Drosophila melanogaster: one gene and its partners. The protein of the gene in region 2 interacts with the protein of the main gene of each other region in a pairwise test. Each region holds a gene or a part of one and is shown on either strand. Other genes may lie near its edges. The genes, in order: ninaC, cry, per and tim.

Region 1 (9,131 bases), on a different chromosome or scaffold from region 2:
TGATTGATATTATGTGAAACTATTTAAGGAAAAAGTTTTGTTTTATCATCGAGAATTTGTGAGACCATGCCCGATATGGGTGTGCAGTTAATGATTCAATTCAGTTTCCTTAGCTTTTTTGCAATCCCTATCGAACACACAAAAAAAGTCCTGCGAACAAAAGAGTATTTGTTCAATCCATTCCTATAAACGTTTTTGTTTAGGTATTAATGTTTATATATACAATGTATAATGGATATAGTTTATGAAATACTGAGAGTATTGTTGTTGCGTTTTAGATCTTAAAGTGAGAAAAGTAAATCATTTAAATGATGTAACAAAGAAGCAAGCATAATAAGCAATGTTAATTCGTCGAATTTTTCCCATTTTTATCCTACGTCAATAAAATGCAAATTAATTGCTGAATTTATATCAATGTCTTTAAAGTTAAATGTTTGAGTATGCCAAGGTAGCATTTACCTACAAATAACCTAAATAATTAAGTGGTTTATAGAGATAGAAAAATGAAATGCGGTAAGAAAAAAGTGAAAATTTAAATAACGATTTATCCCAAGACATTTTATTTATTCCATTGTGTGAAACGTTTTTGAGAAAGTGATGAAGAAAACTTCAATCATTATTTTGGAATTTTAGGTGGGTTTTAGCTAAATTGTCTTATGGTTTGCATAACAATTAATTTTAATATTTTTACTCTTAATCACTAGTTTTAGATATCGACGGCATAGCCTGAAAGAGTGATTCCAGGTGCAATCTCCTCTTCTACATAGGATCCTGCCTCCTCGAAGGATCTAGCATTGCTATCTTCGAAGCTGCGACCCACGCTGGCTGGAGATTGTCTCAAGGTCGGAGCCCTCTGCTGCTGGCCAAACTTCCTAGACACACCATAGTTTCCCGATGATGAATTATAGCCCTCATCGTCTTGGTACCGGCGACCTGTCGAGCGTAGCTTGGGCGGCTGGAACGTGTGTTGGTCACCACTGTCCGATCCGCGGCGATTGTTAAAGTCATAGGTGTTGGTCTCGGATCCCCTCGGATAGTTAGTCTTGCGCAGCATAGCCTTGAAGTTGAATGGTGGATCCTCAGAGTTCTGGAAAGAAAATATCTGAAGAATTTCCTTAGGAAATTGACATACACTTACATCACCCTCGTTGCGAGCCATGTTCTGAAGTTCTCTAACTGGATCCGACGGAGGATACGAGGATCTTTGCTGATAGTTGCGTTGCTGCTGGTTCGGATTATTGCGATAATAGTTGGATGAGGGCATTGGTGGAGGAGGAGGTGGAGGCGCCGCATAGCCCTTCAAGGAGTTGCGCCTGGATCCGGATCGATGTACGCCCCAGTTCTGGTTGTTATAGTTGCTGTTATAGCTGTTGTAGGCATTGTTATAGGCATTCATGTTCATCTGCATTTGATTTCTGAAAAAAAGTGTTAGAAACTTAAGTTCAACCTTTGAGTATCTTTGCTAACCTCCTCAGCTGTTGGGGATCTCGGAAGTAGCCCTGATTGTAGATATTGTCGCTCTCGCCCATGCGATCCCAGTTGGTCTGGCAAGCCTGCTCCTTCTTATAGGCATTGTAGGTCAGGGCACAAGAAGTCATCGAAGGATTGCGTTGCAGAGGGCTGTCCCAAGGCTCATCGTCCTCCATGTGCTGCGTTAGTAGCTGATTGGGGAAGGCTTGGCGGGAAATGGAATTGGCCGGGTCCACCATATACTGGGTGTCATAGAAGGGTATCTGATCCAGGCGGAATGGCATCTTTTTTATGGGCACTGGCAGTGGTCCTAGCTGCGAGGAGTTCACTTCGCGCATATTGATCCTCTCGAAGGGCACAGCCCGAGTACATTTATTCAAGCCAGCCACCATTCGTTGGTTGTAGATGTGGACCTGGTACATAATATAATATATATATATATATATATTGGATTTGAAGATAAGAGATTTGAACTCACCTGCTGTGAGAGATTGACAAAGTCCTGGAAGCGAGCCGCGCGGTAGTGCAGGAGGACCTGGAAGATAGACTTCTCGCGCCATTTCTTGGCAAACGGACGGATAAAGTCGGCGGTGTTCTCGTTTAGTTGGCCGGACTTCTCGTTGACCAGCGGAGGGAGGCGGACGCGGTCGCGGAATCCCCTGAAGGCTGTGGGAAAATGGAAACGGAGGAAGGCCGTTAGAGTAACCCATTTGAAAAGCGGTCGCGGCGGTGGACGGTGGTGGTGAATGAGAGGGAAGTCACCTTAATTTAATTAAATTTTCATTTCTTTTCTACGCAGCACTTATAATTCATCTCTTTTCGCAGGGGCCGTCGATGTTAAGTGTTATGTCTCAGACAGCTATAAGCCGATTGGTTGCATCAGATGGAGAACACAACCGCCCAGCGGGATGGGGTGGGATGGTATCCACATTGGACACCACTAAGCGGCTTAAGTGGTTTGCCGAGGCCCTAGACTAGATGATAGCTGGTTGTTTGCGTTTTCTACATTTTATTGGTAGTCGTATTACGATTAGTATCGATCGATATAGTGATATAGTGTGTATAAATGGTATATAGTAGGGGCCTATTCCTCGGCGGAGGCCTGCTCGATTTTGGCTATTCGCACCGCTGCCAGAGCCTCATCCATTCTGGCCTCGAGGAACATCTCCTCCGCCTCCGAGGGCGTCTCGCTTATGTCGATGTGCTCCTCGTCGTACTCTCTTAGCCTATCCACCTGCGTTTTTTTACCTTTTTGTATTTTGGACGCGGCCACATCATGATGCTCCGGTCCCTTTTTGCCCACTAATAGGGAATTTAAAATTAGATTTCATACCATATACTGTATAAGTATTATTTATATCTTACATTTGAAAACTTTGCCGCCCTTAACTCGTTTCCGTGCTAGCAAAGCTCGCATCATGGACTGCACTTTGATGACCTTCTTCACCTGCAGCTCATACAATCTGAAAGCAATTGATAGTACTTGCTTTTCTCAATGCGTATGAATTGATAGCTCACCTGGCTAAGAACTCATCGTTATAGTAGCGCAAAAACACCTTGGTCTTGCCCAAGGCCCAGCCTTCCATCTTGAGGCGCAAGAATAATAGACGACAGTTATCCTTGGTCATTTCCACGGGCTCATCAAAGTCAAAGGCAAGGAATTGGTATCTAATACGAATATTTTAAATATTTAGAAATCTTTAAATGGAAACTGGAATGGAATCGATTACCCACCGCCTTAGGAACTCGTCGAATGGCAGACGCGAGCTGAATCCCTTCTGGCGAGCAATAACAGTGTCCAGAACTCCCAAGGCCTTCATCTGTTGCTGGACGACATCCGAGTGGAAGGATCTGGGCTTGTACTCCAGATCAGCGCGAATGCAGCGAACGAAGTGCACGCCGAGATTTGCATTCTGGCTTAGCATTTTGAGCAGGGTCAGGCAGGTGAAGCGGAAGTTGGCCGCCAGGGTACGTAGATTGTTCACTTGGGAGATGCATCCGGCACTTAGGGTATTCAAGGCCTGAAATGCATAGTTTACAAAAATATACCAAATTTAGGTTAGCTAATAAAAACTGTGACAGACTTACATATGACTTCCGTTCAGATTCATCCTTATGCTGCACTGCCTCGAATGGCATGGTGAGATTGCCAGCCTTGGTCAGTTGATTGGTGAACATGAGCATGATGCTCTCATCCAGCGAGGAGCGGAAGGTCTCGATCATTTCCGGCGGCACAAAGTCCCGGTTGATGTCGGTGAAGGCGCGCGTATCATAGATGATGCGGCCCGTGTAATGAGCCACGGATATTTCAGTGGCAGTGTGCTTCTTCACAAACTGGCTGTGCTTCTCCGAAACGCGATCTGTAGATGGAAAGTGGTTAAATCACATATCCAAAGTGGTGCCAGAATTGGTTGTATACCCATAATCAAATCCTGATCTTGACAGGAGCGTGAGGCATCGTCAATGATGTAGAACAGGCCATCCGGTTTGGTTAGCAGATTATCCAGAGCTGTCTTGTTGTCATAGAAATTCAAGTTGATGGTGTCAATGTCTTCAGCTTCCATTTCCAGCATTTCGCTGATAAAAATACGTTGATTGTAGTGATATTGCATTTGCTCGTTTAGAGTATTGATCATTAGTTGCTCCAGACCATTTCGATTAAAGCACTCAAATCCAAACATGTCGTGAATAATGATGGCATTTGTGTCTCCGCTTAAAAAGTTATTTAAGCCACATTGTTAAACTTATGAATTTGTAACTTTTTTTTTAATATTACTTACAACACAGCCCGTGGGAAGGACATGTTCATGTTAATCCTGTTGATGATAAAGTCCACCAATCGAGAGTAGAGCGTGCTGGCCACCGCATCGCGTGCATCCCTAGCTTCTTCAGTGGTGTACTGTCGCCTCTCGGCGATCCCGCCCTTGACCATAATGAAGTTGGTCAGAGACCACATGAACTTTTTCTCATCCACACGGAGGAGCTCGGCGATCCGGGACACAATGTCCGTGTTCTCCACTTCCGCATACTTTCCGTTCTGCCGGAAACGGATGTTGCCAATGTTCAAAATGGCAGCCAAAACTTTGCGAACGGTCTCCAATTGCTTGTGATTGAAATCAATGTCCCGCAGGATGTTCTCGAACTCCCTGTACCTCTCCACATTGCCCTCGGGATCATCACGACGATACTTGAGTTTCGATGGCGGAACCTCTGGCGGAACTCGCAGATAACGATAATTGCGATCAGCCTTCAGATTGTACTCCTTAAGCTGATTTTGCTGATTAATAAAGTCGTAGAAGTAGTAGAAGATGTGGAAGTTGTGCTGGGTTCCGTCCGTAGTGGCCACTCGTAGTTTCTCCAGCATATACATATTAAAAACGGCCCCACTCATTTTGCCGGTTTTTCCAAAGGTCAAGCAATATTGTAGGACACATCTTGTGGAGTCGTTGTTTACCGGAGTTCCTGCATTCACCAACATCAGGATGGCCTTGATGGAGCTCTCCACGCGCCCGGTGGCCCCACGATTTCCATCACCCAAGTAGCACAGATGCTTGATTAGCAGCCGGGCATTTGTGGACTTGCCCGAGTAGCTCTCTCCGGAGAGCACGATGTGTTGCGGCTCCTTATGATGCAGCATATCCTGGTAGGCGATATCGGCCACCGAGAAAATATGCGGCTGGTTTTCCGAACGCGACTTGAAGCGATACTTGGCATGGAACTAGAGAAAGGATAAATATAACATATTTAAGTATACATATTAGATGTTTTCAACTTACCTCCTGCGGAAATTCCTGCTTGATTTCATTGGAATTCAAGGATAAAAGGATATCGCCAATGAAACTGTACGATTCCCCCATCAAAATGCGATGACGCAGTGACTCGATTATGTTTTCATCCACGGGATTTTCCAAGGCAGCCAAGTCCTCCGGATACATCTTTTCCGGCTTCTCATCGAACCTCTTCACATAGCCGCGGTCCACGAACAATTCCGGCTCCTTGTACAAAGTCTTTACATCCCTAGAGAGTTCCAACATTTCTGCGATGTCCGATCGCATCTCGTCCTCGTTTTCGATGAGCTCCGTGAGGAATGGATGCTCCACCATCTCAACCATCATGGGCCGATTTTCGGCATTTTTCTCCAAACTCTCGGATATAAAATCATTGATCTGCTGCGACCAATTAGTGGGTCGCATTAAGGTCGGCGGTGGATTGCGAATGATCTGGAACATGGCCCTAGTGGGATGCATGTCAGCGAACGGTGGCTTTCCATCGGCCAACTCAATGGTAGTGATTCCCAAGGCCCAGACATCGGCACGAACGGTGATGTCCGGTTCGCGGGATTCCATGGCGGACACCACTTCGGGAGCCATCCAGCAGGGAGATCCAATGCAGGTGCCCCTCTTGCCCAGAGTGGAATCCACCTGACGGGATAAACCGAAATCGCACAGCTTGACCCGTCCATTTTTGGTCAACAATATGTTATCTCCCCGAATGTCCCGATGCAGGACATGATTACGGTTCAGCTCGATGGCAGCACGGCAAGTCTCCCGGATAATGTAGGCGATGTGCTCCTCTCGCATTCGACGATCCAGTTTCAAAAGCTTGTTAACCATGTCCACTGCTGTTCCCCCAGCGCAGTACTGAAATATTCAAATGGTTTATATAAATTACAAAAAATTGGATTTAAATTTTTGGAAAAAATTTAATAAAATATTAACAAAATGTTTTGACTCACCTCCATGACAAACCAGATCTCATCAGGTCCGTTTGGCTTCGACAGCTTGTAGACGCCATAGAACTCGGGAAGATTGGGATGGTCGCAGTAGTCCCGCAGAGTGCGATACTCCTCCTCGATGGAAACCTGGTGCTCCTCATCGTAGTGCTGAATCTTCAGGGCAACGATCCGATCATTGTCGAGCTCCTTGGCCCGAAAAACCTTGGCATTGACGCCTTGGGCTATCTCCTCGTAGATCTCGAATTTATCCGTAGGATCCGGCAATTGCGCGTACGGTAAATACATCATGACTTAGATGCTTATTCTGAATATTCGAAGAACATGTGGGTTAAACTTGGGAATTGGGTCTATCATAAAATGGGCTTCAAAGGTTTTCTTTTTCAATTTTCCCTCATGCAAATCGCATTATATTTGGGTTCATTGTTGCAAAACACTTAAGAATGGGCATTCTAGAGGTTTCATTGTAATCTTTTGCTTCTAATAACAATTTGCTTTTTCTTTAAAGGTGAAAGTTAAGTTACTTTGGTTTACTTAACGTAAGGATATTTTGGAATGTTTGCTTTGCAAGCACGAAAGATTTCAAGGACCTTTAAACAAATAAGATGCAATTTTGAAATGTAAAATTATAATAAAACCATTTTCTATAAAACACTTAAATAATTCATGTGAAAACGAAAAAGTTAAATGTACGATTTATCCTTGGTAATTAATCCTTCCTAGGTTTGTATTTTGAATCAGCAACTTTGGATAAAGGGATTCTAGGGGGTTATTTGTATTATATCCACTTCACAGGGCTTCAAACACTTAATCCTTCAGGACACACCTTCGCTGCCGCAGATTGGCACACTTATCCTGCAGCTGTGTATTTTTGGTTGCAAGGATGTACTTGTGTGGAACTTCGAACCGACCGCACGCATGCAGCACGTACCGCTGCCGTTAGCCAACTAAATGATGGGCCAATGCAATCGGAGGCTTTTCACTGGCAAGGAAGGAAGCCATTCAATGGGCAGTACCTGGGTGCACACCTTGGACAACTATTTAGCTGGCTAATTCAATTAGCGGCGGCGACATTCACGTGCAAGTGAAAAAAGCGGCGACACAGATGGCCAAAATGCCGAGGTGAAAGGGAAATTGGCAATGCGAGTGAAAGTCAGCTGATTGACAGACTAATTATGCATCTTATTGTTCGTATTTACAAAATATATTTATACGTATTCCAAATGGCTGGAGATTGCTAAACTAGGCATTGCATTCACACACGTTGTTTATTGATGTTTGCCCTATTGCGTACTTTATGTTTTTTTTTCTGTAATACTGATTTCTTTGTGTGTTAAGTTCTGTGAGAATGAAGAAAAGTCTTTTCTTATGCATGTGGCTGAGGCTCCATCGCTCCATCACTTCATCGTCCTTCGTCTTGCGTCCATTGTCCTTAATTGCATATGCTAATCCATTCCTCTACGTGGCACTCCTCGCACTCCACATTACAGCACCATTGGAATTTACAGTGACACCGCTCCGCCCTCCGCTGGATGACCTGGCTGTGGCCACGGCCACAGCAGAGGGAGGTGCATCCGTCGCTGGTCGTGGTGTTCCGATTGCACTTGCGTCCCACGGTGCCTGTGCGGAAATTGGCTCAGATTAGTCATGTTTATGTTTTTCTAAAGATATAATCATCAGAAAAGAAAATTATGTGGTATCTATTAAAATATAAAAATAACAAGTTAATAAAATTAGTGGTGTAAGATTTGCGTAATTAGCAAATGATTAAGTGTTCTCATCAAATGCAATCCATCGCCAAATGGCAGTTAATCCCGCCTACTGGCGGACAAGCAATTAAAAGACCATAAATAAACTATTAAACTAAAGCACAAACAAAGTATCATAATTGTTTGGCCGACGATAATTGCCAGCGTTAATTGCTATCATTTGAATAGACACGACACCGGACACGGACACATGAATCAAAACGCCCGATGGGCTGGCTGCTCCCCAGTTCACTGCTGTTGGAGCCTGAGTTGGAGCTTGAAGTGAAGCTGGAGTTACCGGGCTAAGCCGACGATTAATTATAAATTTGCGTCGTAATTAACACTTTTAAACTGCTGGCAGTTGGCGGGGCAGCAGCGACGCTTGATAATTTGCAAATGTGTCAACAGCAAAATGGCTAACGAAAATTGCAAGTGGCAGTTAGACGTCGATTTCGATGTGAACGTGCCGCAGTTTCGACCGATCCCCCAAGCCAGAGTACAAGCAAGGGGGGAGAAATGAGGGGATACAATTAACCCAAACTCATTTCCAAGCATAAAAAGTAACGATTTTCTTTTAGTATGTTTCGGCCAATTGTAGTTTAGATAACATATCAAAAACCTTTATTTTAAGAATGTCAAATAAGAACCCCCCTCAGATTTTCAGTCTCCGCCACTGCTTTATACAATCCAAACTGAGTTGAGCTGATCCGAACCAATCCAATCCGATCCGATCCAAACTGAGCTAAGCTAAGCTGAGCTGCTGTGCGCATGCGTCGCTGTCGCATTTTTTTCGTAAATTATGTGGCAGGTTTGGTAGCCCGTTTAAAACACAAACCAAAAAAAAAAAAAAGAAAAATACATTTTTGCTGCATTTGCGGTTGCTGGCGTTGTTCATTTGCATTTGAGATTTATTTATTAGAGCCAAATCAAATTTATCGCTCGCTTCGTATCGGTAAATCATTTTTAATTAGTTGCAACGCATTTTCTAACGACAAAATTGTAAATTAACTTATTAAGTAATGGTTATGTGGGTAGGACGTTAAACTGATAAGATGTTTAAGCTGAATATTGAGTGAGTATAATAATTGGAAAATGAAAATGTTATAGTACGAACATTAACTCACCCTGTATATCAGCTCCCAGATCGCGCTCACAAAAGTTGGGCGAGCGCTGATAGTAGA
Region 2 (6,602 bases):
TGGGGAGAGTACTTAAAAAATATAATATTGATAAAAGTATAATGCGTTACGAGATATTCCATAAAGTATAAATTGCATCAAATTGTTATTTTCTGTGAGTTCTCGTTCCTTCCTTGTTCGTTTGTTGATTGAATTGGTTGGTTCCATTATTTATTCAGCTATCGTATATTACGCAATGTGTGTGTGTGTGAAATTTACATTTACCAGAAAAATAACTTTTTGCCAAGCAACGCTCTAAATGTTTACTCGAATTTACTTCAACTAATTCGCAGGATGTCGAATGTCTAAAACGAATGCTTACTTCCTACAAAGGACTATTGCGATTAAGTCGCTGGTAGGGGAATGAGCGAAAAGCTCGGCGTGGTCGAGTTTAGATTTTCTCAAACTTTATTTGTAGCAAACTGTCGAGGGACTCAAACTTCAACAATAACTCCTTTTAGGTCCCATCAACCCCTACCAATATCTCATTCGAAAGGCACACATCTAGAAGGAACACCAAAATTTAGGCATTAAAATAAAATATACACAACAATTTAGACAAATTATAAAGATAGAATCTCTCATTAAACGAAAGGCAAACGAAGCCAGGATCAATAGATCGACATAAAATAAATTTCAATATTTGAAATACTTCGCGTTCAATTTTTCTCGTATGAAAGACCCAATTAAAAGCAAAAACTATTTAATTAATGCTGTTAATTAACGTATAATTTGACAACGTAATACAGATGATAATAATAATTATATATATATACACCATAAACGATTTTTAAAATAAGCTGAATAAAATTGATATATGAGTAACACGTTATAAGCTGTTAAAAGTAAAACGAAACCAAATAAAACGGATACAAATTGTATTGTAGTACTTATTTTAATTGAAGAAAATAAAGCATTATTAATTATATATAATATTTCACTGGTAATAGTTTCTTTATTGTGAAATCGAATTAAAATTGGATTGGTCATCCCACTTGTACTCCTTCAAACCACCACGTCGGCCAGCCAGAAGAACTGACGCACTTCCTCCTCGTTGGATGGTCGGCAATGCGGCGGCGGGGTGATCAGCGAATTTCGGAGAGACTTCATGGCCAGCATGTTTCGCTTTACGGCCATGGACAAATCAATGATCCGCTCCGGATAATGGACTCCGATCAGGCACTCGTACTGCTCCTGCTGCTCGGCAGACATTCGCCAGGGCTCGTGACTGAAAATATAAAATGGGATTTATAATTTAAAAAATATAACAAAAGCACGAATAAACGAATTAAAAATATATATAGTTCAAATGGTTGCTTGAGATTGTTGAACACTTTAACGAATCATAAGTAAAGACGACAAAGGAGTCATCATATATTGCGTATACGACAAGTATACCATCAGTATTTTTATTATATCTAAGTACTTAAATTGTTATATGGAATTTTCATTATATAAACTTACACAAATTCCTTGGGCACATTCATCAACTCCGGGACGTACTGCTTGATGTAGGTGCCATCCGGATCAAGTCGCTTGGCCAATGCCACCGGGCAGGTGACCAGGGAGGAGTCCAGCAGCCTTTCAAACGCCGAGCTGGATACCCACATCCAGTTGCCAGCGCAGACCGACCAATCCGCATCCAGCAGATACTTCAGAAAGTGCTGCAGTCCATGCTCCCAGCTCTGCCACAAACCGCCGCGCGTGAGAAAGGTGGCCACGGTGTTGCGCAGCGTATGGTGGAGCCATCCCTCGGCCAGGAGTTGTCGCATGGCGCCGTCGATGAGCGGGAATCCCGTTTGGCCTAAACGCCAGCTCTGCAGGAGATTTTCGTTCGGCTTAGCCCACGGGATGCTCAGGCAGATGTCATTGCCCTCCATGCGATCGTAGTTTGGATTGTTCACCGACATGGTGTAGAAGTACTCTCGCCAGATCAACTGTCCCGTGATGTGCGCGCCGCCAGTCATCTGAACGCCCCGCACACAGGCGCGCAACTGGACATTCTTGAAGAGATCGTGGACGCTCCAGTAGAAGCGACGTACCGAAAGGCAACCAAAGCGCAGATGGGCGCTCATCGATTTTGGCGAGTCGTGGATATTGGGCAGTGCCTGGTTGGGCAGATAAAATCCACGCTCAAACGCATGCTGCTCCACTTTAAGACGCTCATCCAACAGAAGTAAGGCCTGTGTTTCTCCGCCGCGCCAGTTAATCTTGGCCAGGAAGCCCATGTTGTCTCCATACACATTGAAGTGCTCCGGCGTGGGCAGCTGCTCGAACAACTTAAGACTTCGGCAGAACTCGGGGTCCAGCTCGACAAAGGTGGCGTCTTCTAGTCGAGCATCGGCGGTGGGACGCGGTGGAAGCCCAATAATTTGCACCGTGTGCTAAAACATAATAAAATAAACGAAAATATAATTTGATGTAAATAATTAGTATCTTTCAGTGACTATATAATTTTCAGATAGTTATATTTTTACATTTATTTTAAAGATATATTCTCAAAAGAATATTATAACTAGAGAACTGAGCTTTAAACTCACCAGGAACATTTGGTAGGTCAGCGGTGGAATGCCACCATTGGTCTCAATCACCAATTGCGGATCCCAAAGCGTGTGTGATACCTTCTCGACAAAGTCGATATTCAGCTCCCGACATAGAGAACGGATGCTTTCATCGCGCTCATTCCAAATTGGCTCGCAGTCCTGCTCTATGCAAATCCTGTGCAGACGCACTTGCTCATGTAGCCGGCGGAAGATATAAGCCGGTTCGCCCTCGAAGACCAGGAGGCGTCCACGTCCATCAGTTGCCGCCTGTAGCTGATCATCGATGTCCTGCAACGAGTCCAGGAGGAAACGCATCCGATTGTAACCCACATTCTTGGTACCTGTTAAGGAAGAGCATTTAACGGTTTTATAAGATTTATAAATTTAAAAAAAATTATGCATTTTCAAAGTTTTTTCGTGCACAATTTTCGCAAAACTAGGAATTCAAAACAAGTTTGTGTGTTTAAGTGCCACCTTTTAGATAAATTTTCAGCTTTTGTGCAAACAAATGGTTCAGTTTAGCCCATTTTCCATTGTAATATTTGTTTTCACGCTTTTACCCACAAAACGACGCTTATCGGTCAAGTGATGGGTTCTATAGGTATCCCCGTTTCTCGCCGACTTTTTCCGTGAGCGAGCTGTTTAAACACAAGCATTATACTGCTATTCTGGTTTGCACTCAATGTCTCTACCCATTTTGCATTGTCTTTCTATATCTCTCTCCCAGCGATTCGACGGAAAATTCTCAAAACCGCCAGCCACAAATGGCATTAGGGCGCATCGTTTGTTTTGCTCTACCATGCAAAAGTGCATTAGGTTTTCCCTCCATTTTCCGCCCCTGCAGCTCTCGCCCTCTTTCCATTTTCACAAGCAGCGAAAACGCTGAATTCGCAGCGGTCGCGGAAAGAGGTGGTATGTGATAACCGATGCAAGTCGCAAAAAATGATATTAGCTCATACGGAGAATGAGCGTGTAATAGCAATCAAACTAAAAGTATTTATTTTAACCCTCTGTTGCCAACGGTTTTTTATTTTAATTTTGTTGAATTTTCAAACTCTTTCCAAAAATCTATTTTTACACAAACTTCTGATGATTTTGTATGAGCAAATATATATAGATATAATATTTTATCTTTGATGTTTTGCTATCTATTAATTATTTTAAGATTATCTTAATATTTTAAATATATCTCCATGAGATATCCATATCTCATATAAAAGTTTTGAAGTAATAACTTAGGAAAGTGCAAGGTAAGTTCAAGGTTACCTGTAATCAATTTAATTTGGATACCTACATGTATGTGTGCGCAACGAAATAAAATTTTCGAAAACTCAGTTCTTACCTGCACTCTCTCCATCGAATATGAAAACGGGAATTAGGGCTATACCCTGATCCTTATCGGCGAGGGCGGCCAATAGAGCGGGATTATCATGGAGGCGCAATCCATGGCGAAACCAAATCACATTCGCCCCTCGCGTGGCCATCAGTGAGGAGTTCCCTGCTTTTGGGCTTCAAAAATCTCCCGAATCCCAGTTTTGATCGGGAAGAACAGTTTTCCAGCTGATGAAAAGATTTTCTTTTTTCCGCACTCACGATTCGCTCGCGCCGGCAACTAATTGACGAATGAGAATGTGAATGCGAAATTTGAGTGCTGAGAACGTTTCTACAACTGCAGCTCAACGTTCCCCGTGTTCGGCGTTATAAGCTAAAATGAATCGCATAAGTACGGTGAGTGCAACAGAGATGGCGAGAAAGAGACCTGTGGGAACCGCACACTGAAAAAAAGTACTTACTTCCATATATTATATATATTATAACCAAAGTTTAAGTTGGGCAAAACCAAACGCAGGCTAAAACTAAGAGTGTTCTATAACATCCAAATATCGTTTTTGTTTTTGTTATTGTTTATATTTTGAATTTCTATGCATATTTAGTATTAAAACTCGTTATAATGGCTGCGAGAAAAGATTCGAGAGTTGATAAGGATTTTGCGGACATGCATATTTTCTCCCAGTGTAGAAGCGTGTACTGTGAATCGGTAACTAGAAACAGCCCGTTCAAGTGCGTCAATACAAAGCTGTCGATCTGTATGTGTGTGTGTGTGTGTGTGCGAAGGGGCGACTGTGTGCTTGGGTGCTTGTGTGAGCATAAGTGTGGCACTCTGCCCACGGTTGCCTGCACTTCTAGCTCTGCGCCGAGAACGAGCCGAGCCCCCACCCCGAATCGACCCCCAGCTGACTGTCCCACCCCTTCTTCCCTTCGCTCTCACAGTGGGGCACTGCGTTCTGAGCACACAGAACCAGAAACTGAACCCAACTGTTGCCGCTTATGACGTGACGAGCTTTTGCAAGCACTCAACTCTGCAGTGGGATCGAGATGGGCTGTTTGCATGCTTATACTTATCACTTTGAAGTAATAATTACCTATTTGGGTATATTTACTTGGTTGTTTATTATGAGTAAATACATTTAAGTTTAAATAGTTATAAGATTTATTGATTATTTGATTTGTGCTGTGCAGACATTCATTTGTAAAGCAAGTAAGTATCGCCCTAACTACAAAAGTAGGTTAGCCCATTCCTGGTTAGTTCTTCTACAAATTATACTGGAAATAGCTATTTTGGTAAGAAAAAGATGAAGATGGAAGATGAGCAATTCTAGATACCAGTATTCTCCTATCAATATTTCGAAAAACCAAATACACTTGAACATATAATAGAGTAGCTAATATTCGGTAGTGACGCACTTTTTGGTTATGGTCCTGCATTGGCATAGTTAGTTAACCCGAGCATGGGCCACAGCTCCTTTGCCAACTTTGAGTGAGCTTTTCCCCCATAAAAAAAAATCCCCGCACGTCGAATACCCAACATCGCTGGACAGTCCCAACGAGCCTTATTGTGAGTAAACTACGCACTTGCATCACAAAAACTTTAGCATTGCACATTGCATGTTGCCTAGACAACGACAACGACACCGACAGCAGCAGCAGCAGCAGCAGCAGCAGTAAAAACAAGAACAAGGACCAAATGGAGGCAACGTGCGTAACGGAATGTCAACTGCAAAGCTCGCCGATGCACGTGTCCTGGCAACAACAACAACGACAGGCGCTGCTTGCAACAATCGGGCGAGGAATTCAAATGATGACGACGACGATGATGAGCCTTCTGTGGCTGGACTATGGCCAAAACCAGGATTATAAGGGGGCGGGGGAAAGGAACAGTGGCAGAGGCAGAGTGAAACAGGGTCAAATGAACAATGAAGTGAAGTCGAAAGGTTTTGGACAAAAGAATTTTTCTTGCCTTGTTAGCTTTTATGAAACTAATTTACGTTCCTCGGTTGGGATTGAAATTTCGGAAATTTAAAGATTGAGAATAGCAAATACAATTACTTATACTCAAAGAACTCATATTGCTCATACGCCAGGTGGGTTTCTATTCACAATTTTCACTTCATTGACATGGACATTTTCGTATAGTTGGCATTTAATTTACGTTCAGGTCGAACTTTTCCAATAGAACTTGTCCCTTGCAAAGGAATACCCACTTACCCATACGCCAGGTGGTACCAATTTTTACAAAGTTCTCACCATTTCCTCGAAATTGAATTTTTTATGATTACGGACAGCCTTTCATAGTTTGTTCTGTGAAAAATTACTGAACATTGGCTGATAAAATGTCATGTAGAAAATTAAATATGATTTCTCATAAACCAGATGGGACCACTCGTTGAAAGGGCTTTTACTTTTTCAATCGCCGCTGCTTTACCATAGTTTCCATTGTGCTTGGAAAAGATCCTGTATCCTGCGAATTGCATTTGTAAATTGTGATGGAAAACTCCCTAATACTCCTGTGTCTGGTGGGACCATGCCCTCAAAGGGATTTCCTTTATTTAGTGCAGCTGCTTTCCCAAGGTTTCCTTCTCGGAAAGCAAAATGTTCAGCCATTGTCGGGTTATCCCATGCCATAATTTATCTTTCAGCCAGCAAGTTCCCAGTTCAGGTGCACTGGATCTTCCGTTGAACTGCCGGGCACAGGCTGCTAGTTTCATTCTTTCGCTCAACACGTCACCAAGGACTTGAGGG
Region 3 (9,128 bases), on a different chromosome or scaffold from region 2:
TACGTCGGTCAGCAGCAACTGCGGGTGTGGCTACTACCCATCCCCGTGCTGTGTCTGGTCCTCCTCCGGGTGCTCCATGATCTTGCTCTCAGATGTGCTCATGCTCTGCAAAAGAACGGAAATGGATTACATTGAATCGCATCGTGGACTGAACTGTACGTACCTTCAGCTTTCGGTGCTTGGGGTCCTTTTCGGTGTCCGGCGGACTCTCCGATCCGTCCGTGGTCTTGATGAAGGACGAGTAGAAGGAGGAGAAGCTGGAGCCATCCATGTCGTCGCTATTCCCATTGCTGTCCGTGTATTTCTGTGGATGAGACCATGTTCTTCATAATGACCAATCACCAATGGACCTCATTCGTATAGCATACCTTGTTGTTGGCGGGATTGCTGCTGCTGCAGGGCGGGTCGGAGTTGTAGTCGCCCATCACGGAGGGAATGGGCGAGGAGTCCGGCACCTCCTTCTTGCAGGGATCGGATACCGCTGCACTGGAGCCCGGCTCCGTCTTGACGGATGCGCTCTGCGAGGAGGGACGCTGCACCTGGGCAGGAGTGGTGACCGAGTGGAATGCACCCGGCACCTTCTTCGTCATGGACGCCGGCGTGGTCTATGGACGAGTATGGAGTTGGAGTTGGAGTTAAGACAGTTCGGTGAGGCACCACCGGCCACTGACTTACCGTGTACACCGACTTGTTGTACGCGGATTGGGAGCCCAACGGACGTTCGGGAATCTGGAGAGCGTTGGCCATTCCCGGAAAGGGCATCGGCTGGTACATCATGGCCGTGGCCGCGGCCGCCGCCGGGTGTGTGTAGAAAAGCGAAGGATGCGGGTACATCACGCCGGCCATGTACTGCAGCGGCATGGCCTGGGCGGCCGCGGCAGCCGCCTGCTGCGAGGTGGTGGGCATGTCCGTGCCACCCTTGTGCGGATGCTTGTGCATCCGGGGAGAGCGCGTGGGACTGGTGGGCGTCAAGGAGGCGGGGATGTAGTAGAAGGTCGGGAAGAGGCCGGCGGAGGAGAAGCTGCTCTGGGCCATGGCCGTGTGCGTGGAGTGAACGGGCGGTGTGATGCCCACCGAGAACGGTGGCCAGAGGTTTATGTTTTGCGTGCAGGTGGGATAGGACGAGGGTCCTGGCGTGGAACTGCCCACGGAGGAGGACGCTCCAGCCGCTGCTGCCGCTCCTGCTCCGCCTCCGCCTCCGGCTCCACCTGGTGTCCCCGTTCCCGAGGTCGTTGTGGCTCTGCCTTCTGGTGTGCCTGCTACGCCTGTTCCGGATCCTCCTCCGCCCGCCACACCGGCTCCTCCTGATCCCACACCGCCAGTGCCGACTGCTCCGCCCGCACTTCCTGCCGCTCCCTTGATCGCATCTGTTCCCAGGGTTAGCTGCTGCTTGGGCTTGTTGGCCTCTCCCTCCCAGGAATGGGAGCCTCCTCTTTTTATCCCGTGGCCTGGACCGCTGTACTCCAGCATCTTAAGGGTGTCATTGGCGGACTTCTTGCTCTTCTCACCCGTCCGTCCGCGCGACTCGCGGTGCTTCTTCAGCATGAACTTCTCCATCTCGTCGTTGTGCTTATTGAGCAGGGATTCGGTCAGCGTGACTGGCGGTATGGCGGCGCTTCCGCCTTTGGATGAGCTGGCGGTGCCGGTTCCGGTGCCGGAATTTGTTCCATTGCCTGTTCCAGTGCCTGTGCCTGTGCCTGTACCTGTTCCCGTTCCAGTTCCTGTCCCGGTTCCAGTTCCTGTCCCGGTTCCAGTTCCAGTTCCAGTACCTGTACCTGTACCAGTGCCCGTGCCACCAGTGCCGGCAATGCTCGTATTTGTCACACTGCTCATGTGTATGTTACTGGCGGTGGTGAAGTTGCCCGAGGAGCCACTGCCCCCGCTGCCCTCGTGGACGGGACTCATCGGACCACTGGCGCCACTGACACACGTGCCGCGCGGCTCCGGCGGCTCCGTTTTGGGCGGATCGAGCTCCGCCGGCGCCGTGACCGGCTTGCTGTTGAAAAAACGCAGCAGGTTCTCGTTATAGTTTAGCTGGTTGTAGCTGGGCGGCGTCTCGGTGGAACTCTTACTGTCATAGTAGTCGTGGTGCGGCGAAATCTCGCCGAGCATCACGCTGTCCCGCTCCGAGACGGTCAACTCGTTCTCGTGCGGCAGCTCCAGCTTGAGATCCGCCCGGGACACCTCGTCCATGAGCGTTTCCATGAAGCTGGCCAGCGCCTGGCAGCGGCGGGAAACCTCCTGCTTGACCGTGTCCGACGGACGGGACACCGTCTCCGCCAGGCGCTTCACGATATCCTCCTTGATTCGCGTGTTCCGGCTCTGTGCCTCCTCCGATATCTTCAGCTTACATGTGGGCGCCGCCTCGAAGACGTTGCACTGCTTGGGTCCTGGAAGGTGAAATGACCTGTTTAGAGGATCATTGGATCACTGGGTCGGCACGCGAACTCACCCTGAAAGACGCGATGGTGTCCGACGACAAATTCCAGCTTGCGGGACCATGGATTGACGAAGCTGGTCCATTCGGTCTCCAGAAGGACGTAGCAACCGTTCTGGATGAGGAAGCGGTATGGCTTGCTGCAGAAGGAGGCGCCCGCCGTCTGACCCTTCTTCATTACCGTCTCGTAGGTCTCCTTCATGACTGAGAGGTCCTCGTGGTGGTAGAAGTCCATGATGCTGCGGCCAATCAGGTCCTGCGGCAGATAGCCCAGTGCACTGACCGCCGCGCTGTCCACGTGCGATATGATCCCGGTGGCCGTGTGGCGTATGGCGAACTTGGGGCTCTTCTGTGAGAGAATCTCGTCGGGAACTGGGGGGGGCAGAGATCGATGGTTAGATGGCTGGATGAAACCAAAACGGGCACAGATACTCACCCTTGTAGCTGCTCTTGATCGGAGTGGCGCAGATGACGAGCAGCATGTTGGTGCCATTGGAGACCATGTAGTTGTCCGGTCGCGCCTCCTCCGGAGCCTCCCTGAAGGTGAGCCCCAGGCGGAAGGGTTCGTAGCTGACGGGCCTGCCGATGACGCCGAATCCGCCGGACTTGAGTCCCCGGTAGCGACGCAGCATCACGCAGAAGGTGCTCTTGGCGTCCTTGGGCACGCTGCCCCTGGATTCCGCAATGGGTATGCCCGTGGTGATCTGACTGGCGAAGGTGGCGCGGTCCTTAAGGTGCACAAAATCGATGAAGGACCTGCCCAGCCACATGTCGCGCGGGTAGCCCAGGACATCGGTGATGCTGGGCGTCGTGTACAGGACGATGCCGTCGTGCATGGAGATGACGCAGCAGAAGCTGTCCTCCTTCACCCGCTCCCCGCGCTGCCCTGTGCCCGCCGCCGCTGCGCCCACCCCGGTCATGGACTCCAGCTTGCCCGGACCTGCCTCCCAGGTCTTGTCGAACTTGGCCAGCCCGCTGTCCAGACCGGCTGCGTGGCCCACTCCGCCGCAGCCGCCCATCGAGGGCGGGACAATGGTGACGGATAGCGGCGAGGGAATCGGAAAGCTCTGTGCCGCCTCCGACTTGGCCACGCCCTCGACTCGGTCCGCCTCCGACTCGGAGCCGGACTGATCCTCCTCCTCCTCCTGCTGCAGCTGCTCTATGGCCTGCGGCTCGCTGTGATCCTCGCCGTGCTGTTGATCCTGCAGCTCTCGGCAGATCTGCTGTTCTACGCACCCAGTGCCGCTGGGCCGCGGCTTCTCCTCGTCCCTGCCCTCTAGGCTCGTCGACGCCGAGATCAGGGTCTGCGCCTGCCCCGCCCCCTGGCCGGCGCCCTTGTTCTTCTTCTTCTTGCGCGACTTATCCTTGTTGCGCTTGATGATCATGTCGCTGCTGCTGGCCTGCGTCGAGGGCTTGCCCCCATAGCCACTGCTGCCGGAGGAGTGGCTGCCGCTCAGGCGGGATTTGGAGCTGCCACTGGAAAGGGGATGGATCGTTTAGACTACTCGCATGATTGAGCACATCAAATGGACTCACCTGCGCTGCGACTGGCTGTTGCTGCAGCTGTTCGAGTAGGCCGAGTCGGACACCTTGGTGTTGTGTGTGGACTCCGTGGACTCGCCGCCCTCCATGGTGCTTAGGTTCTCCAGCTTGCCCAGTTGGTTGACTAGTGCGAGATTCTGGAAAATCGTATGATGACCATTAGCACTTCAGTTATCCTTGATAGGACCTTGAATGGGGGTAACTAAATAACTAACTAACTGATTTCACTTCTATGATGAACCTATGTATCTATGTTTGTCCTTCCTTCGAGGAGATTCCGTGACTACTGAGTATCCGTTGAATGAATGACCAACCACTACAATGCGGATTCTATTTGCACCGGATTCATTCAGAGCAGCGCTGTTGCATCAACGTGAGTCGATTGCGTTGTGAGTAGTTTCACTTCGGCCGGGTGATGAAATGAATCACGAAATCTGTTGCGGCACCGGGCTGCGACGCGCAAACCCCCCCGATTCTCTAGAATCCAATTCAAATTCCGAATGTTGCTTCGTTACCGTCTTCACGTTGCTCGCCAATAGTATTGTGCCGCCCAGCTAACCACCAACGCTTTCTAGGATCTTCTAGGCCAAGCGAATGGATGATGGGGGGGAAACCAGGCGTTGCACGTGTTCCGACTGCCTGCCATTCATGTTCATGAATCATGGCTTGGATAACTTCTAGTCCTAATTGGCTGGAGCATTGTTGTGAAATTGTCACCTTGACTTGCACCTGCATGGTGGCCATTGATTGAATCGTATACTCTCTGCCCGGCCCAGACTCAGAACGATAGATAGAGAACAATGTCGCCCACACGGTGGTTGCCTGCAACGAGGCTTCACTGTGCTAATTAACAGCGCAGCGGGAGCGAGAGCGAGACGGCGCGACGCTGCATTCACGTGCAGTGCGATGTGCTTTTGCTCTCGCGTTGCCTCTGCCGCTCCGCCAACGGATGTCGTTATGCAGTCGCAATGCATCCCGGCTCCAGATTCGCAGATACGTACTTAGATACTTAGATACGTGTAGTGTGTAGTTCAGAACCATGTACCCTGTACCTCAGTAGAAGACACATTCTTTTCAGCAATTTTGCAATTACAAAAAAAGAACGCAGCGAAGAACTCATATTTCTCACAATGCACCACTATGTCGTAATCGGTGCATATAGCAAGCATTCAATTCGGCAAGGAGTTCGGTTTCAGCGATTGCATAAGACCCAGGTTCATTCTCTCCGATTTGGCTGAATCAACTAAACCCAAAAATACTACACAGACACACAGGCATTAGGGTGGACCCCATTCCAGGCTCTTCAGAGTTTCCATTAAAAGCAAAGATAACCAAATGGGCCAAGTAAACAAGCTGATAGTTGTTTCGACGGCCCAGAATTCAAGAAGAAAGAATTCCAAAGAAGGTGAAAAATTCCATTGGATAATACCATTTTTTTGCCCAACAAACTGGCTTCCAACCGACTGCTCAATCTGCCCAAATCCTTCAGTTTATACCCACCAAGGATTGTGTAACTCGCTGGTTAACCCAGTTCGCATCCCATATGTGGGTGAACTTTGACGCAGCAAAGCAAGAAGGCCAACTGGTCGAATCGAATCCGCCGCGATGCCTCTGGATTGCTGGATTACATTGGTCGTGCGTCATTCCGAGGATGTTAGATAATGCAGCACAGGAAGCGCGACAGACATGGATAACAGTCGCATAACCCGGGGGCAAGACATACTGGGAAAGACTGTGGGAAAATTCGGGGCACGAATGGGAACGTTGAGCTATTAATGGTGGTACTCTGTTTAGCTTGTGTAACGCGACTGCGACTGCGGCTATCCAAATCGTAGGGGTTTTAATAGACATTCCAAATTTGCCAGAAATTACTGCGCCCACGTGGCGTGTGTGCAGCAAATAAGCTGAAAATACCAAGGTGCAATGCCCAAAAGGGAACACGCTGCGTATGCGCAATATGCTCTGACCCAGATTGGATGCCGGGCATCGATTAGAGCTATGTAGCTACATATATGAATGAGTTCACTTCACGTAGGCGCAGTGTGCTGCAGTACTGCACTCCAGGTGACCGGAAGGCAAGCGGCTGCAGTGGTGCACCACGTTGCGTATGCGTATTCTGCGGCCAGAGTATGTTTGTTTGGCACTGCAAGGAAGGAAGTGGTGGGGCATTCCCGGAGCATTGTTCGGTAGGGTCAGGTATTTTGATGTGGGCTTTTGTTTACGCTTTGCTCGGTGTGCAACGTGCACTTATTAATAAACACTATATGTACATATGTGTAAGTGCGCCATTGGACGTTATGAACCGAGTTATTTATGTAAGCTGCCTGCCCAATGCGTTGTTTTGTATTGGCAATATGATAATGGTCTATCTAGCGCCTCTTGCTGAGATTTTTCTTTGCAGCTTTATTGCAACAACGTGACAATTGCACTTACACACTCGCTCTCGCTCTCACCCAGCTGCACTTTTTTGCGATTAGGCTGCGATTAGGCTGCTGCTGCCTTCTGTTTGGAATCTCACTTATGGTCTCACTTTTTGGCTGTGGCTATATGTCACTCAGCTCGATACACTTGACACTAACACTGGCACCAAAGAATAACGGTTTGTTTCTGGTCGAAATTAAAAAAAAAAAAACGAAGCTGTTTGTTTGCGTGATTCGACAGGTCGTTGTTGCGATTTATTTGGTATATGGCAATACTTTCTACTGTGCGACGAACGCGTTGTCGACCTTCTGGCTCTAAATTCGCACGAACACTAGTGCTCGCATCGCAAGCTCCGGTGTATAAGCCCCCGTGCACTCGCATTCCCAGAATTTTCTCACACTCACTCGCTGCTCTCCGCCGTCGCTGAGAATCGCTGGGAATCGCAGTCGCTCGGGAAATCGCTGGTCGGCTGAGATACTCGGACCCAAACATTAACCCTTGGGCGAAGCTTTTGCGCGAACAACAAAAGCAAGTAATTGGAATGCCAAAGACTCCCTTTTCCATAGCAAGAAACCCCATTTATAGATTGCTATAATGTTGGATATCTTTCTTTTTCATAGCTTCTATTGAATACTAGTTTCTTTTGGTTTTTATCTATGCTGTGGGATACGTTACATGGCACTGCCGATGCCAAGTGTCAATCCAAGCCCCACGCACCAACTGCAGGTTAAGGAAAGCTATGGAATCCCCTGCCTTTTTGGGGCTGCCTGGTGGGCGGCTGGCAGCACGTTTTCCGAGGGGTGTTTTCCGGGGAGCCGGCTGGGCGGCGGATTTGCTGGCCAAGTCACGCAGTTCGCCACGTGAGCGGCGGCTTTTCACTGCCTACGGCTTTCTCGGACGCTTTTTGCACTCGGACCCGTCCCTGCCCCACCATGAATTGTGCGAACTCGCACTGGCACTGGCATTTCGCAACGGCATTACTCACCCACCCACCTGGTCATCGTCCAAGTGCGGCCAGCAGTGCACCAGAGCGCCAGTCCGCAGTCAACGCAGTGCATCGGTCTAGCAGCTCGGCTCTCTAGCACGGATGAAAAGTTGAAAGTGGCGCCAAGCTTTTGGGGGCTTCTGTTTCCCGTTTGTCCCGTGGAAGCTCTACCTGGGCAGGTGTGCGCGGCGTGCGCTGAAACACGTACGGAGTGGGATGATAGCGACAGCTGATTTTCCCTGGCTTTTCCGCCTCCGCCCAGCTGGCTGTTGCGCGCTGTGGCCCACAGGTGGCGTTACACATACCTGCCAGCAGGGGATTCCCCGTCTTTCCACGAGGGGTTGATGAACTCCGAGCGGTCGAGTGGTTCGGTTCGATGCTGATACTACTGCTATGCAGTTACAAATGATTATTACTTGCAATTTCTGTGCATTGAATTTGGCTTTTAGTCTTCGCAATTGAAGGGTTAAAAGTTGAGGCATCTGATAAATAGGAAATGATTTTAGCTACCCCCTCATAAAAGCATATTTTTATGGACCCCACAACTTCTTTTTTTTTCGGAGCATTTTTTATTATCCTAATCCGATCGAAGTGCCCAAGGATGTCTTTATGCCTTATCAGCCGTCCCATCGGCCTGCGGTGGCTTTGAATAATTGAATTCTATTAATTGGCGGCTTTGCCGACGTCGAGTGGGTGTGAAAATCCATTTGACCCGGCACCCACTCCACACGCAGCTCCTTTGTGGCCACGTGTGTGGTGTTTGCCCAAGCTAGCCGGAGTTTGCTGGCATTTGCTGGGGCTCGCTCTTATCTATCGCGGCCACACACGTGCCACAAAGTCACAGACGCCTGCCCGAAAATGATAAAGTGCGTTCGAATTAGCCACCAAACTGCTGCTAATTTGATTTTGATGCTGCGACTGTTGACTTGCCGCACTTCGCCACTCCCCGTCGCGTTTTGATGTGCTGTGATTTCATTTGATTGCCGCTAATCGGATTCCGGGTGGTGATTTCGGGTGAGTGTCGGTCGGACTGTGAGCGGGATTAGAGCCGAGTTCCCAAGGCCCACCCTTTCAACGTCCAAGTGGCGTAGGTCCGAGGACCTGTGGACCCATGAATATGGATTGCGATTAGAGGATGGACGTAGCACATCAGGTGGCATTACTGGCACCACAATTCCGTCCCAGCGTTGAACTGTAAGCACAAACGGAGATACAAGCTCAAGTGAAATTACTTCAGCACTTGACTACTTTCTGATGAGATAGATGTCTGTAAAAAAATTATATCAATGTAATGAACAGTTTAAATTAATATCAGAAATATAGTGTCATATTCTCCAAACTAGGTTTCCTTGGGAAGTCTCGTTTAGAGCTGCTCGGTTGGCAACTTATGAAGGAATATAACAGATACGGGGCTCAGATCAGGTGGACTTGAAGCAGACCTTTAAACGAAGTCCTTGGCCTTGGAGCACCTACAGATTGCACTGAATGGTCTCGCTATCCTCAAAATGTCCACATTAGAATTCAGCTGCCCCGCTGAACTGAAGTAACGTCGCTGTGCCCGGAATATTCCCGGCCAAGTAAATGCCCGGGCCGCACCAACCCCAAATTCCTCTGACTTAGCACTTAACTCCGCCCTTCGGAGTCTGCGCATTGCGTACTCCCAAGTCCGCTAACTCTTCCCTAGTCCACCAACAAATTCTGCGTTAATTAATTAGAAAAAATCACAGTTTAAGGCGTGAAAAA
Region 4 (6,130 bases), on a different chromosome or scaffold from region 2:
GATTCCACAAGATCGTGTTCTGCATGGAGATGCCATGCGGCATCGACTGCATCATGGGCATCACGCAATGGGCATGCGTCTCTGGAATGTGCAGGATATTTCTCAGCAGCAGCAGACAGTTGTTGATTTGATCGCATTTGTGCGGCGACAGCTTAGGGTCCGACTCCAGTATGTGTTTCATGTACTCCACCACGCTCTTGGTGCTCCTGGCCTCGGTAAATGCTTCCTTGCTGGTGTACAGCAGCTTGTTCAGCTCGAAGATGGTGTGGCGACCCACATCCGTGCGGTACATCACGTCCACGGAGAAGAGGCACTCCACCGGCACCGTCAGATTGACGAGTATCCGGATGACCGACTCCAGGACCGCATCATCCTTGGCATTCTCCAGCAGCGGTATCAGGTCTGACCTCACATTCTGGCCAAATCCAATGGCCCGTCGAAAGGTGCGCAGTGTTTGGTCCTCATAGGTGAGCTTGTAGTTGATCTCCTCCAGAATGGCTGGGGATTGAAAATAAGTTAAATACCTAATTAATGTAGTAGTCCTATATTGATTACTCACCCAATGCATTCGGGTTGACCACATAGGTATCGCCCTCCAAGCAACCCAAGGAGGAGAACGCGCTGTACAACTGCGGAGTTGCTAGTAACCAGTCCATAACCGATTTCACTTTATCAAAGTTCTGATTATTCCAGATGTGATTGTGGAGCTGCCTAACTCTGCTCATTGTCGACTGCGAACATTGAGGTACTTCTTAGCCATTTGCGCGGTATCTGTAACTATAAGTAAACAAAAATGTATATTTAATTGTTATTAAAACTTAAATATTCTTAACGTGGTACCAGAGGTGAATTTAAATAATATTACACATTTAAACTGAGATGTGAAATGGTGAAAAATTTATGGCATTTTTGTAAGCTGTAACAGTCACCTTAAAATATGTTAAGGTCACTAACCCATCGTCTTCCAGGGCATTACGCAACCACAAATGATTCCCATAAATATTTGCACTCGCAAACAAAATCGCCACCCATGTGACCATCAAGGGCGCAGTCCATGCAATGTGCTGCAATTGCAGCCGCTCGGGGATGAAACCCGAATCAACTCCCATTCCACATCACCTCACACACGTGTCCGCACAGCACGTCTCCCATTTACCACCCGTTGCGAGTCGAATCAAGGAAACTGCCTACCAGACGAGCCCCGAAAGTTCCCAGAAGCCACACTTGCCAGTCCGGAAAGTGAAAAAGTGGGCTGGATTGGCAAACACCACCACCCCCCCCCCCCACACAGGGGGGAGCCCAACCTTCAGCCATCACGTAACGAGGCAAATCCTCAACAGGCGACTGCGGCACCCGGTGGCCGCATGTGACTCACTTGCAGACATCCGGGCTGATTGTGTAAACAACACAGTTGGAGGACAAAGCCACTGGGTTCGCAAACGGACTACGGACTACGGGACTCCGGAGGAACAAAGCCTGCAGTCGGAAAAGCCGACCACCCGTAGCGATATTTATAGGACATGAATCGGGATGCAGGATTTGGCATTTGTGCGGCTTCCAGCCTGCTGACTTTGAATGTTTCGTGCTATATTTGGCCATTAAAGCGAATGCAGTTTAGTTGCATTGGTTTTCGTTGCCCTCTTTTGGGCGAACACGTTAAATGGCACGCTAAATGGCCAAGAGCGGAAAATAAACAGCGCAAACAGTTGAGAAAATTTTAAAATTACAAAGCCATTTATGGCCTAGCTGATTTACTATAAAATTGTTTTAAAATGTAATAATGCTCAATAGGAAATTATATCTAAGAAGGGAGATTTAATTGTGTGTAAATTGAGGGACAATAAATTATGGACATTTTATAGAAAATATTAAAAAATATAATTAATAAGAAAACAGTGATATCTAAGAGAAAAAAAATAAAAATACTTTTCTTTTAAATTTTACTTAGATATTTCTACTGAAACTAATATCGAATTTTGTTGGTCGAGCATAATTTTTGCACCATCCGAAATCATAGATCATCTGAGCATCTTTGTATCTGTGAAACGTTTCTAGCAACCCCAATACCATTTCCGCTGACTGGTTATGAAATCAAAGACCCAACTTACATAAAACGCAAGGCGAGAACTACAAAATGATATGCGCATTGAAATTTCGAGCTGAGTATCTACTTTTCTTGGAGAGTGAAAACAATTTTCATTCTTTCGCAAAGGGGAAATTCATTGAAGCGAGGTTGAATTTGCATTTGAAACGGAAAGCAAAGATAGATCACGAATAAATATTTAAGATTTGAATTTGCAATGCAAATACATCTGAGGGTCGTTAAAATCCTAGCTAAACGAGCAGAAACCACTGAACATCTGTGTGCCAGGATGAAATCTGTCAGTTTCAGGACGATTCCCGTACTTATTTCGCTATCCTGTTTCTGACAGGAATTCCGTGGAAGGCCAAGCCTCCTTTTTTGACAGTTCACTGCGTGCTTTTTACATAAGAATTGTAACGGAGAATTGTTGTGCTTCGTAAATTGCCCCTTTAACTTGTTTTCATTTTCCCAGTATTATGTGATTTCGTTTTCATGTGGAAATGGGTTTTCTTTCTGTGCAAGCTTTAATTGCTTGAATATGTCGCCGCTTAAAGCTACTTTTTAGAAAGCTTTGTTAAAGTGTAATTTTGTCAGGGGTCAACTGATAACGAACTGTGTTAGGTCAGGTCTAAGCTATGTAATGTTAAATATACTAGTGGTTTATATTTCTTACCAATTATTTAAATTTTTTCTATCGCAGACAATTTTACTGTTTTAGTTTTAGCCGAATTGCAATCAACAATTAAAGCTGATTGTTTATGTTTCTAAGCAATTGAGCTTTTCTGAGCACTTTTTGGGTTTCTTTGCAGAATAGATCGTGTTATAGTTTCAGTGCTGTTATATACACTGATGAAATTATTTTTGTTTTATATCTGAAAGTAGTTTTAAGAATATTTGTTAGGGTAAATTCAGTTTTTTTGGTAATATTAAGATTTTAACCACTCATGAAAAATTTGTTAAGGATTTGCAATTTTATTTAACACTTTGTGAACTTTGCTTTGTTAACACTGCACAAAAAATTCTTTATACTCGTTGTTGGCTTATGTAAAATGCAACTTCAATAGCAATTAATTTGCACTTTTTTCGATTGCAATCTAGGCTAAACACTGAGAGAAAGACCAGTGAGTCATGTAAGCACTCTCTTTAAGATTATTGATATGTGAATTAATAAATATTATTGCATGAATTCACAAAAGTATTCAAGATTATTTTAGCAAAATATCTTTATTAAATTTTCTTTATTTAAGAGATATTTATTTTCGAAACTTCTATTTTGTTGATAAACTTCGAACCGCTCAACGAACCGCTTACTTGGAACGCACAATGCTGAATGCGATCTGAGTTACGGCTAGCTCACCGAAGTCAGATACAAAATGCATCTCACAGATACACACACTGACCGAAACACCCACTCACACAGGGCCAACGTGCCGCTGCCGGCGTTTGTGCGAACGAAAGACGCTAGCCGAAAGCTCTCGCCGCGCTGCTCCGTCCCGCTCGCACTCAATGCCGGACGGCCGGGGAAATCGGCTCACGTGTAATCACAACGTGCCGCACGTTTATTTGCCAACCGCCACTACGATGTTCGATAACATGAATAACCAGCGCCGGAAAATACGGAGAACAGTCTGGGAACAACAGCAATAGTCAGAACGTTTCTGTGCACTCAAAAAAAAAAAGTGTGTCACTTTACCAAATGGTATCTTCAATAACGAGACTTCACTTTACTTTAATACTTTACTTTACTTTATTTAATAAATGTATATATTTAGTGTGCAAAATAATTAATATAAATGATTTCAAAACTACGTTTTTTTTTGATTATACAACACTCACGTTTATATGTATATAATATATTCAATGACATATTTTGTTACATACATAAATATTATATTATTTTGTCTGCTGCTGTACTGTATTCCTCACAGACGTTTCACATTAAAACCAATATTTTTTTCAGTGTAAAGTTAAACGTTTTTGACGCCGCCTTCGAACGACTCTGCCGTAGGCTTCGTCAGGGTGACATTGTTCGGCTCTGAGTGCCTCAGATGATCCGTTGAATAATCCTTTTGGGAACGGAATCAACAGTTGGTTGCAGGCGCGGGCACACGCGGCGTATACGCACCGGGCTCATTGAATGCGTATACTGTGGGGAGCGTATATATTTACTTTGAGTGTTTCCACGGTGGCGCGAGCTGCAGCACGTCGGCACCGAATCGCGGTGGTAAATCGACTGGAAACGGAGGTTTAGGAAAATACTTTTGCTCGGACTGGGGCGATAGAAATAAATAACTGACACTCTCATTTTACGAAGTCACTCACTCACAATAGGCGATTTGACGTCAAAATGTTATTCAACCCAGACTATCAAATTCTATTATTTCAATAAGAAGATTAGTTGTCACAAAAAAAAGAAACAAATTAATAATGCTGTTAATTAGATGGTTAGACTTTTGTAAAAGGTGACAATCTAACTATATTTTTAATATAAAGGAGCAGATTTTGATTGAATACATTTCAACTATGAATTAATTTTTTTATTTTTTGCAAATAATATTTAAGTTATATATCCATTGCTGCAAAGTGAATGGAGAAAAACGAAAGTGCCAATGTAAGAACATAGCATTGATTAGACCACTTCAGCCGATCCGCCCAAAGTTTCCACTCAACGTAAGTTGTGCGATCACTTCGCCAATGCCAAGGCTATGCAAGTACATACATCTGAATTATGCAACGCCTGATGTTAATTTCTGTAAGCTAATTTATCACTAAGCAAACACAACAATGGCGGAGTCCGTTCAGCGGCAAAGTAAGCCACGCCAATGCACAAAAACTTGTCCCTACGTATACGTAATGCAAGTAATTGCGTATACGCCGCATGTAACACATGAACGGTGGACAGTCACGATGAAAGTTGGCTGATAAGCCTCCCAATCAAAAGCAAAACAATTAGATGCGATGCCCACTCCATCCCTCACAAACGGCCAAGGACTCGTGCAGCCCGACACATCCTCTTAACGTGGCCAAGTAGACTCATTTCCAACAACGCGACATGCGCCGGCGAAGTGTGCGATATCCTGGAGGGTCGCGTGTTTGAAATGCTGGCTGCGTGCTGGCAACGTGTGCGAATCCTTCTATTGAAGCGGCGCATTATGAAATGGTTCCATCGGATTGGTTGGCATCGTTTGATAATTTTTTATTGCGGGTATTTGAAATACATCTAGTCAAAGCAATCGCATAGGAAGAAATTGATTTCAAACTATGTTAACTGTGCAGGATATACGAATCTAGACACCACTGTGCTCCTTGATCCAATCCCGTGCGAAACTTACTCTTGAGTAGACACCCGGATAGTCGGGCTTAGCGCAACCGTAGCCCCAGCTAACCACGCCCACCAGCTCGCCCGATTCACTGACCATCGGACCGCCGGAATCGCCTTGGCACGCATCCTTTCCGCCTTCCAGAAATCCAGCACAGATCATTCGCTCGGTGACGCCGCCGTACTGTTTGTACTTCTCGCTGCAAAGCTCCTGATTGACCAGAGGCACCTCCACCTGACGCAGCCACTCGCGGGACTCCAGCAGGTTCTGGGTGTTGCCCCAACCACTCACGAAGCAAGCTTCCCCGTCCATGTATTTCATCTGAGACTCGGGCAGCTTGACCGCCTTTTTGGTCTCGTCAAACTTGATGGGATGAGCTAGCTGAAGCAGCGAGAAATCGTAGTCCACATTGGTGTAGTTGAACTGGGCGTGCTGCACGATCTTCTGCACCCGCAGAAGTTGGCCACTGCGAGCAAATTCGCTGGTTCCGAGTCGCACTTTCAGGCGATCTGCCGTTTTACCACTACGAAATCAGGAGGAATCATTTTTGGCATACTCTCTAGAGAAGATTCCTTGAGCGGCTTACTTACTATGTGCAATGGGCGGCAGTCAATATCCACTCCTCGGATATAATAGAACCGCCGCAAATATGGGACGAAGTCTGCAGCGAAACCTGATGTGGTGCATCGGTGATGTTGATGCGGTGACCGCCCACAATACGGCCATC

Evidence for each region.
Region 1: the proteins of cry (region 2) and ninaC interact in a two-hybrid assay, tested with the Drosophila melanogaster proteins (one study listed by BioGRID).
Region 3: the proteins of cry (region 2) and per interact in a two-hybrid assay, tested with the Drosophila melanogaster proteins (5 studies listed by BioGRID).
Region 4: the proteins of cry (region 2) and tim interact in a two-hybrid assay, tested with the Drosophila melanogaster proteins (5 studies listed by BioGRID).

What each region holds. Positions count from the first base shown.
Region 1 is NT_033779.5:7,375,763-7,384,893, reverse strand, and holds ninaC (neither inactivation nor afterpotential C), read right to left. Parts: upstream 7,193-9,131; 5' UTR 7,029-7,192; intron 6,510-7,028; 5' UTR 6,494-6,509; coding exon 6,206-6,493; intron 6,111-6,205; coding exon 5,247-6,110; intron 5,189-5,246; coding exon 4,251-5,188; intron 4,183-4,250; coding exon 3,890-4,182; intron 3,831-3,889; coding exon 3,559-3,830; intron 3,492-3,558; coding exon 3,205-3,491; intron 3,139-3,204; coding exon 2,989-3,138; intron 2,934-2,988; coding exon 2,836-2,933; intron 2,773-2,835; coding exon 2,719-2,772; coding exon of another isoform or gene 2,555-2,718; exon of another isoform or gene 2,137-2,554; coding exon 1,949-2,136; intron 1,884-1,948; coding exon 1,468-1,883; intron 1,416-1,467; coding exon 1,139-1,415; intron 1,088-1,138; coding exon 707-1,087; 3' UTR 550-706; downstream 1-549. Other genes in the region: CG5149 (uncharacterized protein), read left to right, coding at 1-7; Wnt10 (Wnt oncogene analog 10), read right to left, coding at 7,635-7,822, 9,075-9,131. UniProt on the Drosophila melanogaster protein: Required for photoreceptor cell function. The ninaC proteins combines putative serine/threonine-protein kinase and myosin activities. Essential for the expression and stability of the rtp protein in the photoreceptors.
Region 2 is NT_033777.3:19,209,745-19,216,346, reverse strand, and holds cry (cryptochrome), read right to left. Parts: upstream 4,194-6,602; 5' UTR 4,007-4,193; coding exon 3,865-4,006; intron 3,789-3,864; exon of another isoform or gene 3,620-3,788; intron 2,864-3,619; coding exon 2,520-2,863; intron 2,364-2,519; coding exon 1,444-2,363; intron 1,208-1,443; coding exon 985-1,207; 3' UTR 905-984; downstream 1-904. UniProt on the Drosophila melanogaster protein: Blue light-dependent regulator that is the input of the circadian feedback loop. Has no photolyase activity for cyclobutane pyrimidine dimers or 6-4 photoproducts.
Region 3 is NC_004354.4:2,683,185-2,692,312, reverse strand, and holds the start of per (period), read right to left. Parts: upstream 6,734-9,128; 5' UTR 6,413-6,733; intron 4,117-6,412; 5' UTR 4,069-4,116; coding exon 3,974-4,068; intron 3,914-3,973; coding exon 2,874-3,913; intron 2,810-2,873; coding exon 2,453-2,809; intron 2,391-2,452; coding exon 676-2,390; intron 606-675; coding exon 369-605; intron 305-368; coding exon 164-304; intron 106-163; coding exon 34-105; 3' UTR 1-33. UniProt on the Drosophila melanogaster protein: Essential for biological clock functions. Determines the period length of circadian and ultradian rhythms; an increase in PER dosage leads to shortened circadian rhythms and a decrease leads to lengthened circadian rhythms.
Region 4 is NT_033779.5:3,503,802-3,509,931, forward strand, and holds the start of tim (timeless), read right to left. Parts: upstream 3,418-6,130; 5' UTR 3,395-3,417; exon of another isoform or gene 3,388-3,394; intron 2,956-3,387; 5' UTR 2,757-2,955; intron 778-2,756; 5' UTR 726-777; coding exon 560-725; intron 499-559; coding exon 1-498. Other genes in the region: CG31954 (uncharacterized protein), read right to left, coding at 5,371-5,926, 5,994-6,130. UniProt on the Drosophila melanogaster protein: Required for the production of circadian rhythms. The biological cycle depends on the rhythmic formation and nuclear localization of the TIM-PER complex. Light induces the degradation of TIM, which promotes elimination of PER.